Linked DNA regions of Drosophila melanogaster. The protein of the gene in region 1 interacts with the protein of each later gene in a biochemical or structural test. Each region holds a gene or a part of one and is shown in the gene's direction. Other genes may lie near its edges. The genes, in order: Rel, Dredd, dl and cact.

Region 1 (6,101 bases):
GCAAATTGACGTCACCGGCCAACAGAATCCAACTTAATCTCCGAGTGCAGTAATCGGAAATCAGATTTCGTCATCCGCCGCGTCGAAGAAAAACAAACTATTGAAAAATAACTCGTGTCGGAAATTTTAGAACAGCAAATATTCCCAACCAAAATCGTAATCATGTAACTGGTAATAAAAGCAACAAAAGTTGTTCTCCACGTCTTTAAGAATTTCCTAAATAAATATTTGTGCACACAAGGCGAACTTTTAAAAATTTTCATGTTGAGAAAATAAAATATGTTCAATATGTGTTTAGCTATTTTCCGCGTTGTTTCAAAATCGAAAATCCATATATGCACATATGTATTTGTTCCGTTTTAAGCCATATTTATATGCACACAGTTCAAAACTTTTATCGACAAGTGTTTAAAGCTTTTAAGTCGCGCTCGCTCGCACACGCATATTTAGTGCGCTGAACCGAAAAGCTTTTATCCAAAATATACAAACACGTGCGAGGCTCATTCAGTGATCTGTTTCGTTCTATACAGTCCATCGGTATCCGACAATCAGTGCAGTTCGAATTTTCCACCAGGAAAATTTCGCAAAAGCCAACAAAAGAAGTCACAATAAGGTATGCTGCTAGTGAAAATTGGCTAACAAAAATCCATAAAAAATACATAATTGACCTTCAAAGAAATTTGAATAGGCGTTCTTAAGACACGTTTGCTTTTATCAAGCCAAGAAAACGAATTTTCCTTTGTCCGCATAAAGAGCTAATTTTGTAGCCTGCCTATTAATAACTCTAGTCTAGACGCAGACTAGTGGTTGCAAAGTCAAGACCCCGATTTGTTTATGTTTTTCCTGCTAATTGATTATCAATATAAACAAACTCATCGTCAACTGATAAGGTGTAAAAGCATTTACACACACACACCCACACACCTTGGCATGGTAACAAGAGTAAGAGAGGAACGGCGAAGTGAGAAGATTGATTAACACATCAAAAAGTGCAAAGGGATCGTAAATACATACATATATACTCTAAGTGCAGCCTGGCAACAGATCAGCTGTTTCTGCGTGAGTGTGCGTGTGTGTGTGCGCGGGTCCAGTGGGAGTGGAAACCGACTGAATTGCAAATTAGTTCAGTGGCGCATGCTTATGTAGTTTTTTTTTATCATTTAGCACAAGTGTCTTAGGATAAAAGAACATTCCGGTGTTTTAAATTTTCCAACCATGTTGCGACGTTCTATAGGATCCATTTCGGTCTTGGCTTCCCGGAATTACGCCGGAAAGTCTAACTTCAGGTGTGTATGCTCATAAGAAAGTGAATCGGGTCCGAAATAAAACGTAATATCATACGAAGAAAAACAAAGCGTGCGCTAGAGATGAGTGCGTGACGAAAGTGAATTAAGGGAAAAGCCAATGGAAAGCGTAAAAATATATTATTAATAATACTAATATTCGGTACTTGCATTGCATAATTATTATTATTTTATAACACAGTTATAAGTTGTTACGCCGGTTCTCATTATAAATTTGTATTAAAATTCCTTATATCTTTATATTTATATAAGTGTTGTATTATTTATATTAATATTTTGTATTATATACCTTTATATCTTTTTGTCGAAATAGGTTAAATTATATTTATAAAAATTAATCAAGAATAATGGGAACAAACAATCGCGTACGCTTCCATCCCTAGATTTGTAGAACATCTGATTGGGGCGTTGCCACCCAACTCGTTTTATCTGCCGGTGGCAGCTCTGCCTTGTTTTTATTTTAGTGTGCGCGGTGTGTTGAAATCAGGTATTCAAATAAATGAATTTGAACCGTAGTTTCCGTGAAAAGCTGACCCGAAAGCTCGGCGCAAATAGCTTAAACCTGTTATCAGGGCAGCGAGCGTTTTGCTCGCAACTCGTGAGCGATACTACTTGTGTTCGCGCAGTGCTTCGTTCATTTTCGTTCCAGCAGTGGCGCACTAAAGTTCCCCGATTCGCTGCGTCGTTTTTCCATAAATTTGCATATATGTATTAGTTGGGTGGAATACATATAAACAGTGTGATTTCGCTCTGTAAACAACAACCGCGAATCCAGAATTCCGTACATGCTTATAGTATAGCCGATCAAAAAAATCACACTGAGTGGTGCGCCAGAAAAACCCGTGAGTCATCTCGACGTGGCCGCCGCAGATAATTTCCCATCCGCCGAACATCGGGGAAGTACCTAAAACGAATGGTCAGCCATCGGCGGAGCTCGTTTCGATCATTAGCGTTCCGATCGGCGAAGGCAGCGGATCACTTTTGAGTTGTTAAGACGCTATTGATCAGAAATATTGGATTGATACGGACTATGAACATGAATCAGTACTACGACCTGGACAATGGGAAAAATGTGATGTTTATGAACGATGCATCCAGCACCAGTGGCTATAGCAGCAGTACATCACCCAACTCCACCAACCGATCCTTTTCACCAGCCCACTCCCCGAAAACCATGGAACTGCAAACGGACTTCGCCAATCTTAATTTGCCCGGCGGCAATTCACCACACCAGCCGCCAATGGCAAACTCACCATACCAGAATCAGCTGTTGAACAACGGCGGAATTTGCCAATTGGGTGCTACCAATTTAATAAACTCCACTGGCGTTAGTTTCGGCGTTGCTAATGTCACCAGTTTTGGCAACATGTACATGGATCACCAGTACTTTGTGCCCGCTCCGGCCACTGTGCCACCGTCCCAAAACTTTGGATACCATCAAAATGGCCTGGCATCTGACGGCGATATCAAACACGTGCCGCAGCTGCGGATCGTTGAGCAACCGGTGGAGAAGTTCCGCTTTCGGTACAAGAGCGAGATGCATGGAACACATGGATCGCTAAATGGCGCCAATTCGAAGCGGACGCCCAAAACCTTCCCGGAGGTTACACTGTGCAACTACGATGGACCCGCCGTCATCCGGTGCAGTTTGTTCCAAACTAACTTGGACAGCCCACATTCCCATCAGCTGGTCGTGCGCAAGGACGATCGGGATGTGTGCGATCCGCATGATTTGCACGTGTCCAAGGAGCGCGGCTATGTGGCGCAATTTATCAACATGGGCATCATACACACCGCCAAGAAGTACATATTCGAGGAACTGTGCAAGAAGAAGCAGGATCGCCTGGTCTTTCAGATGAACCGCCGCGAGTTGTCCCACAAACAGCTACAGGAACTGCATCAGGAGACAGAGCGTGAGGCCAAGGACATGAACTTGAACCAGGTGGGTAAACCAGCGCGTAAACAATATCGAGTTGCTTGCTTCGATGAGGTGAATATGCACGTTTGCATTTATTATTCACACGTTTAATTGCTCACTTTAGAATGCTTTAGTCAATTAATTATAGGTTGCATTTGCTACCTTTTAATCTTTTTATTTAAGCAGTCTGTAAAGTATCTACTCGTTTAGCTCGAATTATATAAATTTCTCTGCTAAAATAACTGAGCAATATAACATCGAAGCAATTAACTTACTGAAAAGCAACAAAGAACTCACTAAAAAAGTAACACCAACTTTAGGTGCGGCTCTGCTTTGAGGCCTTTAAAATTGAGGACAACGGCGCATGGGTTCCACTTGCACCGCCTGTATACAGCAATGCAATCAATAACCGCAAGTCGGCACAAACTGGAGAGCTTCGCATCGTCCGCCTGAGCAAACCCACTGGCGGGGTGATGGGCAACGATGAGCTTATTCTACTGGTGGAAAAGGTCAGCAAGAAGAACATTAAAGTGAGGTTCTTCGAGGAGGATGAGGACGGGGAAACCGTGTGGGAGGCATACGCAAAGTTCCGCGAATCGGATGTACACCACCAATATGCCATTGTGTGCCAGACGCCTCCGTACAAAGATAAGGACGTGGACCGCGAGGTCAACGTGTACATCGAGCTCATTCGTCCCTCCGACGATGAGCGCTCATTCCCGGCGCTGCCCTTCCGCTACAAGCCACGGAGCGTAATTGTGTCGAGGAAACGCCGACGAACCGGGTCCTCTGCCAATAGCAGCAGTTCGGGAACAGAAAGCTCTAATAACTCGCTGGATCTGCCCAAAACGCTGGGCTTGGCGCAGCCACCAAATGGCTTGCCAAACCTTTCACAGCATGATCAGACTATAAGTGAGGAGTTCGGACGCGAAAAGCATCTAAATGAATTTATTGCTTCCGAAGATTTCCGCAAACTTATCGAGCACAACTCTTCTGATCTCGAGAAGATCTGCCAGTTAGACATGGGAGAGTTGCAGCACGATGGTCATAACCGGGCGGAAGTGCCATCGCATCGAAATCGTACAATTAAATGCTTGGATGACTTATTCGAAATTTACAAACAGGACCGCATATCGCCAATAAAAATCTCGCACCACAAAGTGGAGAAGTGGTTTATCGAGCATGCTCTGAATAACTACAATAGAGACACGCTCCTGCACGAAGTGATCAGCCACAAAAAGGACAAACTGAAGCTGGCCATCCAGACGATACAGGTGATGAACTACTTCAATCTGAAAGATGTGGTCAATAGCACTTTGAATGCGGACGGTGATAGTGCCCTGCATGTGGCGTGCCAGCAAGACCGAGCGCACTACATACGACCTTTGCTGGGTATGGGATGCAATCCAAATCTGAAGAATAATGCCGGAAATACCCCACTGCATGTGGCCGTCAAGGAGGAGCACTTAAGCTGCGTGGAAAGCTTCCTTAATGGAGTGCCAACCGTACAATTGGACCTCTCGCTAACGAACGACGATGGTCTGACGCCTTTGCACATGGCCATTCGACAGAACAAGTACGATGTGGCCAAGAAACTGATCAGCTATGATCGGACCTCGATTAGCGTGGCCAACACAATGGATGGTAATAATGCACTCCACATGGCAGTTCTGGAGCAAAGTGTGGAGCTATTGGTGCTCATTCTGGATGCCCAAAATGAAAACCTTACCGACATCCTGCAGGCACAAAATGCAGCCGGCCATACTCCCTTGGAATTGGCCGAACGCAAGGCAAATGACCGGGTGGTCCAGCTGCTGAAGAATGTGTATCCGGAGAAGGGAGAACTGGCCATGACCTGGATTCCATGTAAGGTCAAGGAGGAGATCGATTCATCGTCGGACGAAAGTAGCGATGCTGGTCAGCTGGAGATCAAGTCCGAGGAGATGGACATCGAAACAAAGGACGAGGATTCCGTGGAGTTGGACCTAAGTAGTGGTCCAAGAAGACAGAAAGATGAATCCAGTAGAGACACCGAAATGGACAACAACAAATTGCAGTTGCTGCTCAAAAACAAATTCATTTACGACCGGCTCTGTTCGCTGCTGAATCAGCCTTTGGGACATGGGTCCGATCCCCAAGATCGGAAATGGATGCAACTAGCCCGCCAGACGCATCTGAAGCAGTTCGCCTTTATATGGCTGGGCGCGGAGGATCTGTTGGATCACGTGAAAAGAAAAGGAGCCTCTGTAGAGTTTTCCACATTTGCTCGTGCCCTGCAGGCAGTGGATCCACAGGCTTACGCCCTACTGGTTAACCCAACTTGATTATGTATTGAATGTTGATCAATAAAGTACCTTAGTTTTACAAATACTATTCTCTTGTGGAATGAAAAATACGCGAAACTAGGATGCCTGGGATAGCAAGCTTTATTTTTAAATATCAGAGCATTAATTTATTTTCCTTTATTAGCATTTATTTAGTTTCCTTTATTATTCCATGGAATCTATTCTTTAGAATAGTTCTATAAGCAATCTAAACTTGTTCCCTCAAACAATTACCATCGGCGCCCTGCATGAGATCACTAGCAAAAGGGGATCCATCGATAGCTCGGCATTAAAAAGTACATTCTAAGAATGGGGAATCACTAATTTTTCATTGCCGCTCGCGCACGCCGCTTGGTAAACAAGTGGGTGAATCATACATGTACTTATGCGCCTAAGTGTGTGTTGTGGGGGAATTACTGTTGCGTAACTGCAGTGACAGGCGGGGATTTACCGACAGCCCTTATCATTCCCGGTTTATGACCTTTCCTGCTATATTTTTTCAAGAATATCGCAACTAAATAATGTTTTAAGGAATAGTACAGTGTAATCTCATTC
Region 2 (4,056 bases), on another chromosome or scaffold:
GATTGCCAAGCATGTCGACTCGCTCGCACACTCATGATCTAAGCAGGGCATACACACACACAGCCGAGGCGTGCAGTGCGAGTGCGCGTGTGTGTGTCGACTGCGAGGCAAAATGTTTTTGTCTTTGTTTATACATACATACATATATTTTACAGCGACTTCAAAGCGAATTTGAATATAATTGTTACACTTGAGGTGAAAGTTTTTGTTTGGTTTTCGGTACGATTTGTTTGAATGCTCTGTAAATGGAAGGCGTTCATGCGTGTGGCTTCCCTGCTGCGCAGTTTCCACTTGCATATGTACGTACATACGAACAGCAAAAGAAAAGCACGCAATTTATCTTTTTGTTTGGCTGGCGTTCCAAAATCAAGTGTATGCAATTTAAAAAATTTGCACCATCTGTCCCTTTCTAGCACCCACGTACGTGGGCGTGGGGAGACATGGCCCCGAGAAACATACATACATACATGCATACGCACACATGCATATGCATTGAAGTACATACAAAAATCTGGGAACTACTTATGCCATACAAACATTTCATTTGTTCGATCTTACTCTCTTAGCGTGACTGCTTTATGCTTTTTTGTGGAACATTAACAACTTTTCGGTATTTGTTATAACATTGCTGTTCGGTTTTCGGTTTATAGATGGGATTTTGTTGGTTCGTTGTTTTGCATTTCGCATTTTGCTTTTCGGATTTTCTGCTTTAGTGTTTTGTTTGCGTCGCTGCTTACATAATGTGGAAGTGGTACAGTAGGTGGATAAATATATACATATATATAGAGGCATACATGTATGGGATATAGCAGTGGCCTCACATAGATGTGTATATACATGCATATGTATATATATGTTTGACATACATCTGACTTATACGTATTTGATGACGAAGTGGTTGTGAGGTACATAGATAGGTACGAGACAAATCGTCGAATTTTTCGCCAGTTTTCGTAAATCGAATAGCGGCTTTAGTTTTTTCTTCTGATACTATATGTATGTACAGATTTATATATATGTGCGTGAGGCAAGCGCGCGCTCTCGCTCGCACCCGCTTGTAGCTTGCTTTCGCCCTCTTTCTCTGCCTGAGGGCCCCGTATCTCAGTATCTGTCCCTTTCTCTCTGTCTGTCTCTGTTACGCTCATGGACAGAATACAATATACAAAAACATTAAATTAATAAAACTTTTCGTCCAAAACATAATATTCAGGAGTTGTGTTGTTAACAGTTCAACAGATCGACTTAAACGAACTAGAGGTGTGGAAACATAAAAATACCAGTACATCGATATTTTTCGCAAAGAACATATCGTCGTGTTGGATGATATTAGTTAATCGATGTTTTTACCTAGTATATTTGGTATTTCCCCAAAAACCGTGAACGCAAGCTTACTTTTAAAGCTAAAGGCTCGCTGGCTGCGACATTTTTAAATATTAACCGATTGTTGAACCGGTTGTTAAACTTCTATATCAAAAAACTACATCATCTGTTTCTTAAGTATAATTAATAGGTAGCACCCCGATCTTTCGCTATTGCAGAAAACATATCCATTTATCGATATCGATCGGTGGAAGCTCTTCAGGCCACGGCTATCGGATGTCAGCGAGTGCAATTTATCGGCCATTTCCTAAAGTGAAACATTTTTGTATATTCCCGATCGCCATGGCCGGATCAAACCTGTTGATTCATCTAGACACCATCGATCAGAACGATCTGATCTACGTGGAACGTGACATGAACTTTGCCCAAAAGGTATGGCACCTCCCTGGGAGGACTTTTCGAATATGACTCAAATGTTTTACACATCCGCTAGACCAAAGTGTTAATTAAACAGTAGAACCTTCGTTTTCTTCTAGGTGGGCCTCTGCTTTCTGCTTTATGGCGACGACCACTCGGATGCCACCTACATTCTGCAGAAACTTTTGGCCATGACACGATCAGACTTCCCGCAAAGTGATCTACTCATAAAGTTCGCCAAGTCCCGGCCAGAAACCTGGAGAAGACATCTCGTGGAGGCCCTGTGCATTATTGGGGCCCGCAAGGTGCTCCGGAGACTGGGTTTCTGCTGGCAGGAGCTGCGAATGCACTACTTGCCGCATATCGCTGGGATCACGCTGCATGTCCATCCTCTGTTGAAGAGCCTCTACAGGATGTGTGAGGAGTTGTCGTTGGTGCAGAGTGGCCGCTTGCTCCTAGATGTTCGCGAAAAGGTGGAGAGCCAGCAGGCAGGAGATCCACTTCGCTTCTACGATCCCGCGTACCTGGAGATCTTTTTGCTGGACTGGCTGACCAGAAGGAGCATAAAGTTAGGGGACATAAATGCCGCAGGCAGCGATGTTCAGCTGCTGGTCGGCCATTTGAAGTCCAACGGTCTGCAGGCGCAAGCAAATTTGCTCAAAGACACCATCATTAGTAACGCTCCGGAGCCAGATGCGGCTGGCACTGCTGCGATGGCAGTCAAGCAAGAGATTGAATCGGATAACCAGCAGTCGTACTGTTCCACACAAATAGATGCTCTTAAGTTGACCCGGGAGAACGCAGGAATCGCCTTGATTATCAACCAGCAGAAGTTTCACCGGAATGTTAGCAGGGATAATATGGTTTCATCTCTGCAATATTGAGTAACAAAAAGAAGTACAACATTGCCCTTCTCCACAGAAATTTCTGTCGCCCGACCCACTGCGTAGACGGGATGGCACGGATGTGGATAAAGAACGACTAATCGAGGTGTTTTCCTCGATGGGATACAATGTGGAGGCGTACGACAACGTGGATCACATGGGCATCATAGAGCGCATTCGCAGTGCGTGCGATAGATCGCTCGTGCGCGATTCCCTAGTGGTCTTCATCCTGAGCCACGGCTTCGAGGAGGCCGTCTACGCATCCAACAGCATCGCCATGAAGATCACGGATATCGAGGACTTGCTCTGCAGCTACGACACCCTGTACTACAAACCGAAGTTGCTAATCATACAAGCCTGCCAGGAGAAGCTTGTCCATAAAAAGAAGCCAAATGAGCTCGTAAGGAGATTTATAAGCATGAAGTCGTCGAATGGGAAAGCCTATACATTTTCGTATTCCTCTTTCAGTTTAGGATAGACGTGACCACCGTGTCGCCGGACCAGCACATCGACATGCTGCGGGCCATGTCCACGGTAAATGGATATGCTGCTCTGCGCCACACCCAAACAGGTAGCTGGTTTATCGGGAGCCTGTGCGATGCCATCGATCGCCGTTCCGCCAGGTAAAAAGCTGCCAAAGCAAGCTAGCCCCGAATTAATGCATAAGTTGTTCTTTGTTACTTTAGTGAACACATCGCCGATATCCTGACGATTGTCACCAACGAAGTGTCTAAAAAGCGAGGCAGTAATGACGAGTCCATGGTGCCGAATGTTAAAAGCACATTTCGCCAGCACGTGTACTTTCCACCTCGTCTGTGATTTTGGTTTTTAACGTTAGCGCAGTTGTACGTCCACTCAAATTGCTCTATAAAGGTAAAAATACATTTTTATAAAGTTTAGTGTACTTTTGCTATTTTTTCAATGACTTCAATACTAATTTAGTACTTTTCGTCAGAATTTTTTAAAGAACAAAAAAATTAATAGTATCCTATATTATGCAAGATATTTATACATCTAATTGTAAGGTTTCTTATTGGGGTGTTTCCTTCTTTTACGTTATGTGGACTCTTCATCTTCCACGACCATAGGTTTGGCGGCTGCCTGCTTCTTCTGCTTCGCCACCTTCTTGTTGGGTTGAAGATCCTTGGCGACGAGCTGAATTTGTTCACGCAGTTTCTGCCACTTCTCGCCTCCTTGGGCGAGGATCTTAAGCAGCAGATTGAGTTCCTTGGAACTGCTAGCCTTCGTTTCTAGCTGATTTACATATCTGGCTATCTGCTTCTCAAATTTCTTGGAAGACGAGTTGTTGTCCTTGAAAGCGACTTCGAGCCGGCGACCTTGCTCGCTGAGCAGCTTCAGTATCTGTGCCCGCCGAAAACTGCGTGTTTTCTGTACGTCCAAGTGAGAGGCCAGGACAACGGCCAGCGGAGCAACT
Region 3 (4,941 bases), on another chromosome or scaffold:
TCCGACAACCGGAAAAAATCAATAATGTCGTATACACGGGGTGCAAATGTACATATGTGTATGTACATGAAAATGACTGCCCCAGCACGTGTCAGCTTATAAGGGGGCAGGATCCATTAAAAATTACCTCGCGGGACTGGACGAATATCGCGTGATTTTCGTGGAAAACCCGCTGCAATTGGTTGCCGGCCTTGTGGGAGTGGGAGCTTCTCCATTCACCATTGTTTGATCGATGTCTGGACTCCATTAACCGGGTTGTTGTTCTACGTTCGTGCCATCAAGACATTGCGAGTTGACTTAGTCCCGCAATTCCCCCACTCCAATTCCACGGGCGGCGATGGCAATTGATGTGGAATTTCAATACTAACATTTGACATAATTCCTATTTATTTGCGCTTAGCTCACGTGCACTTATGTATGTATGTATGTTTACCAGGTGGCATGACCTTCGTGCCAGTGTGGTTTTGATAACGATTTACGATAATGGCGGAAAGTCCTTTTTTATGCATATGTACGTAGTATTGGGAAGAACTTAAGCATGTGGATTTTGTGTCACCGACCATCCAACTTTAATTAATATTATTTTTATTCTTATTTACTTATAAATTTTTCACAGTAATAAAATAGGAACATTTAGTACTTATTTGTAATTTTGTCATGAAATTATAAAAATACTACCTGGTTCTTTCGCATGTATTTCAAACTGATAATATTTCGTTTTCCAAATAATGTGACAATTATATTTTCTATTCATCGTTCATATTTAATAATTTGGTTTAATTAGCTGAAAAACCCAAAACATAAAAATCCTTATCTAACGTGCGACCACTTTTTAAGCGATGTATTCAATTATCAACTGTACTGACCCCCATTTCCCCAGAAGGTGAATCAGCAATATTATCAAATTCCGCGTAACAAGCCGTCTTGAATGTCAGAGGTCCTCCGCCCGGAAAGTGAAAGCTGCTCCGGAATGCTGAGCACGAAGCAAGTGAGTCACGGCATTGAGACTCTGCCGCAGTGGAAATTAATGCCACAACAAATGCCGGCGCAGGATATTATCCTTTTTCCAGGAATCGTACGCTGATTCAGACCCCCCAACCGCATGGGTGGGAGTGGGGTCTTAAATGGATAGCTCGCAGCCACACACACAGATAGTTAGTGCTCACCGTGCTGTTTCATTCATAAAAGCTGAAAAAGCTTTTCGGAGGCAGTCGCTCGTGGAGATGAGTCACATGTGAAAGACACTGAGATAAATGACGGAAGTTATTTTTTCCATTTATATTTTACTTTTCGTAAATATGCATATATAGTTGGAATATTCGGCTATTTAAACGAATCTCACATTGAAAATCGAATTCTTGATGATTGGTTACCATACAGTTGAATTCTCAATATTTAAGAAAAACAAAATATTTATATTTTCCGATTCCTTTGGGATGCTCCTAATAAAAAGATATGCATTTTCAATTAATTAGGTATTCCTTCAATATAATACGTGTTATAGATTTAAAAGGTGACACATTTTAAAAGCTTTTGAAAGAAACAACTGGCCTGCATTCCTACTAATCGGTATCAGTCAGATAAAAACATTTATATTATATGTATGTATATATTGTTTCGCCTTTATGCAATCATCGCGTATTCCTCGAAACTCGGATTTGTGGAAGATGTGGACATCTGTAAGCTATAAGTCGCAAGTGGAAAACTTCAATCGTACGTGACTCAGCACATGCTGATCTCGCACTCTTCGCCAAGCTAGGCTCTTCGGATTGTCTCTCTTCTGAGCTTAAGTCGAGACTGCAAAGAGCAGAGCTTGGGGCCGACTACTTAACTCCGTTGAAAGCTTCGCGATCTGCAAGTTTTGCGGTATTTTTCAGTGGCGCATACGGTATTGAAAGTTTGGCTCGCCTGTTTCTTCTTGGTGGGCAGTTAGTGTTCAAATCGCGGGCGTCGAGATCGGTTGGTAGTGCGTGTGTTACGGGTATTTTATCTCCACCTCCAAATTGTGCCTTATTTACCTTTTTCGCTGTGCTTTAAGCTTCCGCTCTCTTTCGCTCTTCTGGAGCTCGAAGGCAGGTTGAAATACCAGTAGATAAAAATAAAACGAAAAGTAAAAGAGCTGCATAAAAACGCATAAATTCAATTGAGCTCTAAGCAAGTTTCACTTGCTTTTTCGTATTACGAGTGACAAAAAAAAGAGACCCACCAATATAACGGAGGAAAAAACAAAAATAAAAAACTCGGCGCACGTATTGATAATTTCTATTAAAACTGAACGTTTACCGATTAGATTACACGGCACATCGACACTTTAACCACAAACATCGCAAGAATAACCAAAGAAAATGGAGGGCAGAGCGCGATAACAAATTACCCTAAATTATAAATCGAATAAATCGAAAAACAAAAACAAAAGGTAGTCGTACGTCGATGATCGCATAAGCATAAAGCCCGGAATTCCCTAGAAAAAATCGACGTCACGCGCTCTCTCGCGCTCTTTGCCCACTCTCTCTTTCTTCGGACTTCGATTTCTTAACTTTTCATTAGTTTCTGTTCGAACTGTTCTCCCCCATCCGTTGTTTTTGTCGTTATTATCGATATTATCGCACCCGCTTTGTGCGCGCGCAAAAGTTAAAAAAGAATAAAATAAGAAGAATCAGAAAGAGAGAGAGAGAGAGAGTGAGTGAGAAAGGGAGGGAAGAATAAATTATTTATATATAAAAAATAATAAATAAACCGGTTCCTGCCGTGCGTGCTTGTGTATGTGTTAACATTAACATGAAAAAAGCGCCATATTTCTCAACTATAAATAAATGGCTTATTTAGCTCGCTGTGCAACGGACTAATTTTCCAATTAACACAATAAGAAACTTAACAAATAATGTACATAAAAGTGTACTAATTGGTTCGCGTTGAATTTCAGGTGTCCGATTTACTTAGCAAACCCAGTGATATCAATGCATATAAGCGAGATTTCAGATCACTCCTTGACTTAGGTGAGTCCCCCTATAGAGCCTAGCTTAATTTATTGATTCTGAACATTGATTGCACGGATTAATAAAGTGCGGTGGAAAATCCTAATGGCTGCGTTTTGCGAGAAGGGTCTTGATATTTTAATAAATATGTACACAACTATTGCTTCCAAAGACGCAAAATGTCATTACAAAGAAACGCATCTTGCATTAAACATATTAAAAATATAACCTTATTGAGTCATTGGACGCCTTATCGTTTCGGAACAATGTTTACAGCAACAACATCGTGATTTATCAACCATTATTCACACTTTTAAGGTTTGATAAACCAAGACTGGTCACTTTTCTCGCATATTAATATTTTTCATCCTAAATAGTTTTAACATTTTGACAATGTTTAAAATTCCTGGATGCTAAGATTTGTAATAGCTCACAATTTCTGCATGACAAATAATAGTTAAGATGTTAAAAAAAAACTATTAGAACGTATTCAATCCTTTGTAGTGTAACCGCAGTTGTTGTTGTTGTGTTTTTTGGGTGGCAATTATCCACCTGCGTATTAAATAATCTACGGTGAATGCAAACGATAAACTTAAATAATACAACCGAAACACCTGTGTACATGGCAGCGCAGTCGCAGTGGCTTTTCGACGTCGCCATAAATGAAAGTTTCTTACGGGCACGTGGGTGGGCGAGGGGGGCCGTGGGGCCCAGAGGGGGTGGGGCTCGTGGAAAAGCTTTTGCCCCTTGTATTTATTTATTTTTTGCTGCCACTCAAATACGCCGGAGAGGTTTTCAATTGTTTCATTCTAAGATCGACTCGATGCGCCTGCGGTCGTGTTTGCGCTAACATTCTTTTATTTTTATTAAATATTTTTAAAATTCCCTAACGGTTCGATATTATTTTTAAGTAATAATTTGAAAAGTACCATTTTGAAAGAACAAACTGCGGTTAGTGTGCGTTTTGTGGCCCAAATAAAAGCAAAAAGTGAAACCGAATTCGTCATGAGTGTTCACTGGTTCTTGGTTTGATTCGCAGGTAATTATGAAGAATGAAGAAATGCTTTTAGCTGCTAATACGGTGTAAACTCGAAAAGTGCAACCAAGTTAAATGCAAACCGTGTGCTGACTCATAACATCAGACTCTCGTCTCCGGGACCAAAGAAAATCAAAGCGCTAAAATCGCTCAACTCGTTTCCAGCAAGTCATCGGCGATTTACAAAGCTCGAGTAGAGATTTGTGTGCTAACAGAGATCTAAGGCCAAGTCAATAGATAATATTGGTTATATCTACTGGTAGTTTCCCCGTATGCTAAATCCGAGTCATGATTGATACACGATCTGGCTGTGGGTAAGGCCCTCCGCTATGCAAATCATCAATCAATAGGGATTCTATTTTAGGCGAATATCATTTAAACCACTCGATAAGAAAGATCGTGGCCGTTATAATTGGAGATACGGATAAGATATGTATCTGCATTTTTGCCGGAAGTCACATGTGCACAATAATCCCTGATCGGCTAATTTAACAAACATTGTTTGGTGTGGAAAATAAGGATAATGGACTTGTATTCATACGATACAAAACATAGCTTTTGGCAACTAGTTCCATCGATTTGTCAGCATATCGGTTATTTATTTTTATTTGAGCTGTAAATTGCTTGACGCCAACGATCGTTAAAAAACATTTGTCTGTCTGGAGTTCTTGTTTTTTTTTTTTTTGCGGAACCCGTTTCACTGAGGAATTTTTGGCTGCTTCTGATGCTTTGATGTTGATCTTAATCTTAATTTGTGGTGCTGGCGCCAAAAGAACTTTTTTCTGTGTGTCTTTGCTATTGGAAATTGCATAAAATTAGCATGTTAAATGATCGAAACGAAATGTTCATTTTATTTTGTTTACTTACCTTTTTTTTTTATTTTTCGCCAAAAGTAGTTATCGTTGAACGAGTAGAACGTTATTTTATTAA
Region 4 (4,581 bases), on another chromosome or scaffold:
GCACAAATGCCGACGGATTGGATGAGTGTCTTGGGGGTGTGGCCCACAGCTAGAGCAACGTGCACGCTGTTTCTAATGCGCTTTTGCAGAGACTCCACCACCTGGGAAAGCTCCATTTTGGTTTCTATATATCTACCGGATCCGGTACCCGGAGGAGCACCCAACTCCGGTTCCAGAGGGCGGATGCTGATGATATTCACTGCCTTAGATAGCCAGTCGTTGACGCCACCACTCTTCTTATCCCACGCCGTGTGGGGCGAGTACAAGGCTATATCGTTGGCCAAGCATGCTGCCACCACGCGCTCCTTCCAATGTGACTGCGTAATCCTGGTCAGGGGCTTGAAAATTGGCGGATGATAGCTGATTATGAGCTCCGCCTCCTTCTCTAGCGCTTCTTTCACTACGGGCTCGGTTAAATCGTTAGTTAATAGTATTTTCTTGATTTGTTTTTCGCGGTGCGGTTCGATCAGGAGTCCCACATTGTCCCACTTCTCTGCCCAAGAAGTCGGAGCAAAGTTCTCCAGCTCCTTGACCACAGCCGCCAGCTTTTGACCACTAAAAGTGTTCATCCTTCTCAGCATTCCTTGACGTCCTTTGCAAAATATTTCTGGTCCTGCGTTTAAGATTTTGTGCAATTGACTTATTGGCCGGTAAGTGCTGCCAACTTAATTTTTGTTGTTTTACCTGCTCTTAAAATCATCTGTTATCACCCGCAATTTTTAAATTGGGCGATAAAGTAATTGGTTAATATTAATAAACATTAAAAAACACTACTATAATTTTATTAGCAGGTCACATTTTTGTTGCGTAATTTTGTTAGAAAAACATTTAATGAATATTTGGATTTTATAATAACGAGAATAGCAAAACAGTTTTAATAAAACGATAAAAGTTTATGTTATAGCAAACAAATAATTAGAAATTAACAAAATATTTAAAAAGTTTATATACCTTAATAAATTTATCAGATTGGCACCAAACACTTGTTTTTAATAGAAAAACGAACGCCTGATAAATAATAATTCAAGAAATTCAATCGGAAGCCGAAGAATTTAAATTTTAAAGAATAATTTAATTAAGTCATACAAAAGCAAAAAGCAAAACCCGACAAGGAAATGACCAAACCCCTAAAACTGAAGAGTAATTTACAAATTCCCAGCAATTTAATCAAAATTTTAGGAAACAAGTCCGATTTTTTAATAACCTATTTGTTATAATAAATAACTTTACAACTACGAGAGGCGGAATTTTAAATTTTAAATTAAAAAAGCGAGCAAAAACTTTCGAAACTACTTGTGACCGTAAACACAGGTTTTATGGTAAGAATCTGATAATCTTGTAAAGCCCCTCTAAATTTCTTGGATTCAGATAATTTTTTAATCAATACAACCTTGTAAAAACCAAAATAATCGTATATATAATATTTCATGAATTGGCGATAAAATGTGATTGAGTGTTAAAAAATCCCAGAAGGAGAGTGTATGACAAATCGGTCGCTCAGAATATCCCATGAAATTCAGAATTGGTCGAGGTTTCAATCGAAGCTGACCTGTGAAAAACCGAAGAAAGAATCCTGCATTTCATTTCCGTTCTCGGTCAGCGGGTGATTTCCCAGATATTTGTCCGCCTCGCCGTCATACGCATTTCAACCGTAGGACGCCGAGCATCAACATCAAGTGGCTTCGCTCGAGGAACTAAACAATCACACAATCAGAGAGTAAGAAGTATAAATAAACGCATCGCTGCTGTGGTTGCTTTTGTTGCAGCTGACCATTTAGCTGCTCATTTTGTTGTTGGGAGATTTTAACTTGGCGCTCTCCCTACTATCTGGCAACCCTATGGTCTCCCTCGCACACATGTAAAACTGATTTAAGCCCCGATTACACACTCCATCGTCGATATATTAAGGCAAACGTTTTCACTTCGGTCTTTTCAAGTCTAGAATTTTATTTTTTTTGGGCAAATATGAAAAAATAGATTTTTTTCAATTAACAGTTTTCTAAGTAAAGAAAATTTAAAATCGAGACTCTTCATTTCGTGATAACTCTTAGTGCAAACGGGGCTTTATAGTATAGACTGCCATATAAATATATACATATCAGCGCGCTCCCTCAATTTCATTCGCTATCGAAACGTGAAAGAAAGCAGACGTGCGTCCGGGTACTATGCGAATTGCAGATTACAAACATTTAAACCATAAATACGCGTTTTAAAGACAGCTTCGCAAGACAATTAACCAGCAAGGTAGTGAGAAATCCATAGAAAATAGTGCTGGGGTTTAAACCCAGAACATGTGCAGAAAATAAAAAGCGAAAAGGAAGCTGTGTGAAAAGGGAGATAAAAAATCTACCTCAGTGTGATTGTGGGTGTGTGCGGGTGAAACAACCGTGAAGAGGCAAATAAGACATTGGCAAATGGAAAAATCTAAAATTTTCAACCAGTGTGAAACCGTAATTTTTATTTTTCTGCGGCTACACTTGTACATAAGTCCATAAATTGCCTTTAATCTACAAAAATTATTGCGTTTTCACTTGTTCGCTGGAGCCTATATGTTTGTTTCACTCGCACCACCGAGGTGAGCGCTTACTGTGCGTGTGTATGTGTGTGTGTTTGAGAGACTGGGCTCAAAAGCAAAGTTCAAAACGACAGGAGTATATATATAACATATATACATATATTTTAGCCCAACTGAGAGAGGAAAAGCACGAAAATGCCGAGCCCAACAAAAGCAGCGGAGGCAGCAACAAAGGCAACAGCAACAAGTGACTGCAGCTGCAGCGCTGCCAGTGTTGAGCAGCGCGCCCCCTCAAACGCGGCTAACCCCTCGTCCTCACTAGCCACTAGCGGTAAAATTGGCGGCAAAACACAAGATCAAACGGCCGCCATTAACAAGCAAAAGGAATTTGCCGTGCCAAACGAAACCAGTGATTCGGGCTTCATCTCCGGCCCGCAATCCTCGCAGATCTTCAGCGAGGAGATAGTCCCCGATAGCGAGGAACAGGATAAGGATCAGCAGGAGTCGGCACCCCAAAAGGAACAGCCCGTTGTCCTCGATTCCGGTATTATCGACGAAGAAGAGGATCAGGAGGAGCAGGAGAAAGAGGAGGAGCACCAGGACACCACCACTGCCACCGCCGATTCAATGCGACTCAAACACAGCGCGGACACAGGCATCCCACAATGGACCGTCGAAAGCCATTTGGTCAGTCGCGGCGAACAGCTTAACAATCTCGGCCAGAGCAGCAGCACCCAAATCACCGGTCGCAGCAAGGTTCAATCCTCCACAGCCAGCACGGCGAACGCGAATCCTTCGGGATCGGGAGCAACATCATCCGCTCCGCCCAGCAGCATTAATATCATGAACGCCTGGGAGCAGTTCTATCAACAAAACGACGACGGCGACACGTAAGTAAACATTATAGAATCTCAGGAAATGTCACTTTATTCTAGACTTTCAAATTATTTATATATGTGCAAACCACATTTATAGATAACTTCGAATGTGTATTTTTAATGTGGGGAAATTCCCAAGTATGATTTAAACATTTTAGCGCCTTATCTCTAGGTCACTTTAAAAACTTTCCCATGCTTATTCTTAGACTAGCAATCATAAGAACTTTATATTTTAAATATTTTATACAATTGGACGGTATTTTTTGAAATTGGAAACGATTGATTATATTTAGACTGTCACAATCGCCAAAAAAAAATCTTTATTAGAATTTAGGTCTTCATGCTCTTAAAAATCAATTTAACATACTCATTGACAATTCACGATTAAAGATTTATAAGCACAGTCTTTGAATCATTTCCGAATTTCTATGAACTTATACGTGCCGTATTTCCGATGAGAATCCTAAAATTTCCCAAAATAACAAAGACAACGCCGCGTTGCACTGATGACCACCAAGCGAGCTAAGGGGAGAGTTTCGTGAATCACTCAAAGACGATTGTCTGAGGCGAGAAACGCGACTGACACATGTGTTTTAGTCAGGCTTTGGGGTTTTCCTGGTATGTGGGCAGGTACGGGAACAGGTTTTTCGGGGCACCTCTTCTTTCTTCACATTACTTTACCTCTACTTAACTTACTTGGGTTTTTACGCCGCCACATGAACGGCGACAAGTGTACAGGAAGGAAAGAAAGTGCGGGTGTTCGATCGCCAGGTAAAAGAAACCCACAAATTCATGTTGTTTTTTTTGCTCTCTCTCTCTCATTTCAGACCTTTGCACCTGGCCTGTATTTCGGGATCAGTGGACGTGGTGGCCGCCCTGATTCGCATGGCTCCTCATCCGTGCCTGCTCAACATCCAGAACGATGTGGCCCAGACACCCCTTCATCTGGCCGCTCTTACTGCCCAGCCGAACATCATGAGGATACTTTTACTCGCCGGAGCTGAGGTAATATTCAACAAAGATCGAATAAGAAGATTTAGATATTTGCATATTTGTAAAATCTAGCTTAATCCCCTATTGACGAATGTAATGTCATATCATCTTGATTTTCTAACAAAAGCTAATTTAAGTATTTATATTTGTAACAAAAGATTCCCATTACTCATTTGAATAGCCCACGGTGCGCGA

What was found.
Region 2: of the proteins of Rel (region 1) and Dredd, one has a biochemical effect on the other in vitro, tested with the Drosophila melanogaster proteins (2 studies listed by BioGRID).
Region 3: the proteins of Rel (region 1) and dl form a complex in vitro, tested with the Drosophila melanogaster proteins (one study listed by BioGRID).
Region 4: the proteins of Rel (region 1) and cact form a complex in vitro, tested with the Drosophila melanogaster proteins (one study listed by BioGRID).

Annotation. Positions count from the first base shown.
Region 1 is NT_033777.3:9,043,669-9,049,769, reverse strand, and holds Rel (relish), read left to right. Parts: upstream 1-1,792; 5' UTR 1,793-2,334; coding exon 2,335-3,246; intron 3,247-3,542; coding exon 3,543-5,546; 3' UTR 5,547-5,587; downstream 5,588-6,101. UniProt on the Drosophila melanogaster protein: Transcription factor that plays a key role in the humoral immune response as part of the peptidoglycan recognition protein (IMD) signaling pathway.
Region 2 is NC_004354.4:633,090-637,145, reverse strand, and holds Dredd (death related ced-3/Nedd2-like caspase), read left to right. Parts: upstream 1-1,600; 5' UTR 1,601-1,662; coding exon 1,663-1,752; intron 1,753-1,837; exon of another isoform or gene 1,838-1,856; coding exon 1,857-2,600; coding exon of another isoform or gene 2,601-2,621; exon of another isoform or gene 2,622-2,658; coding exon 2,659-3,021; intron 3,022-3,089; coding exon 3,090-3,244; intron 3,245-3,307; coding exon 3,308-3,440; 3' UTR 3,441-3,524; downstream 3,525-4,056. Other genes in the region: Mybbp1A (MYB binding protein 1a), read right to left, coding at 3,678-4,056. UniProt on the Drosophila melanogaster protein: Effector of the programmed cell death (PCD) activators rpr, grim and hid. May play an apoptotic role in the germline as well as soma. Fadd interacts with Dredd to promote cleavage of Dredd and is necessary and sufficient for enhancing Dredd-induced apoptosis.
Region 3 is NT_033779.5:17,447,351-17,452,291, reverse strand, and holds the start of dl (dorsal), read left to right. Parts: upstream 1-1,927; 5' UTR 1,928-2,416; intron 2,417-2,923; 5' UTR 2,924-2,996; intron 2,997-3,781; exon of another isoform or gene 3,782-4,014; intron 4,015-4,941. UniProt on the Drosophila melanogaster protein: Embryonic developmental transcription factor. The lateral or ventral identity of a cell depends upon the concentration of this protein in its nucleus during the blastoderm stage.
Region 4 is NT_033779.5:16,323,157-16,327,737, reverse strand, and holds the start of cact (cactus), read left to right. Parts: upstream 1-1,530; 5' UTR 1,531-1,717; intron 1,718-2,112; exon of another isoform or gene 2,113-2,244; intron 2,245-2,317; exon of another isoform or gene 2,318-2,683; 5' UTR 2,684-2,710; coding exon 2,711-3,405; intron 3,406-4,220; coding exon 4,221-4,398; intron 4,399-4,567; coding exon 4,568-4,581. Other genes in the region: CG4278 (uncharacterized protein), read right to left, coding at 1-581. UniProt on the Drosophila melanogaster protein: Involved in the formation of the dorsoventral pattern. It inhibits nuclear translocation of the dorsal morphogen in the dorsal region of the embryo. Acts as a negative regulator of the NF-kappa-B (rel) signaling pathway.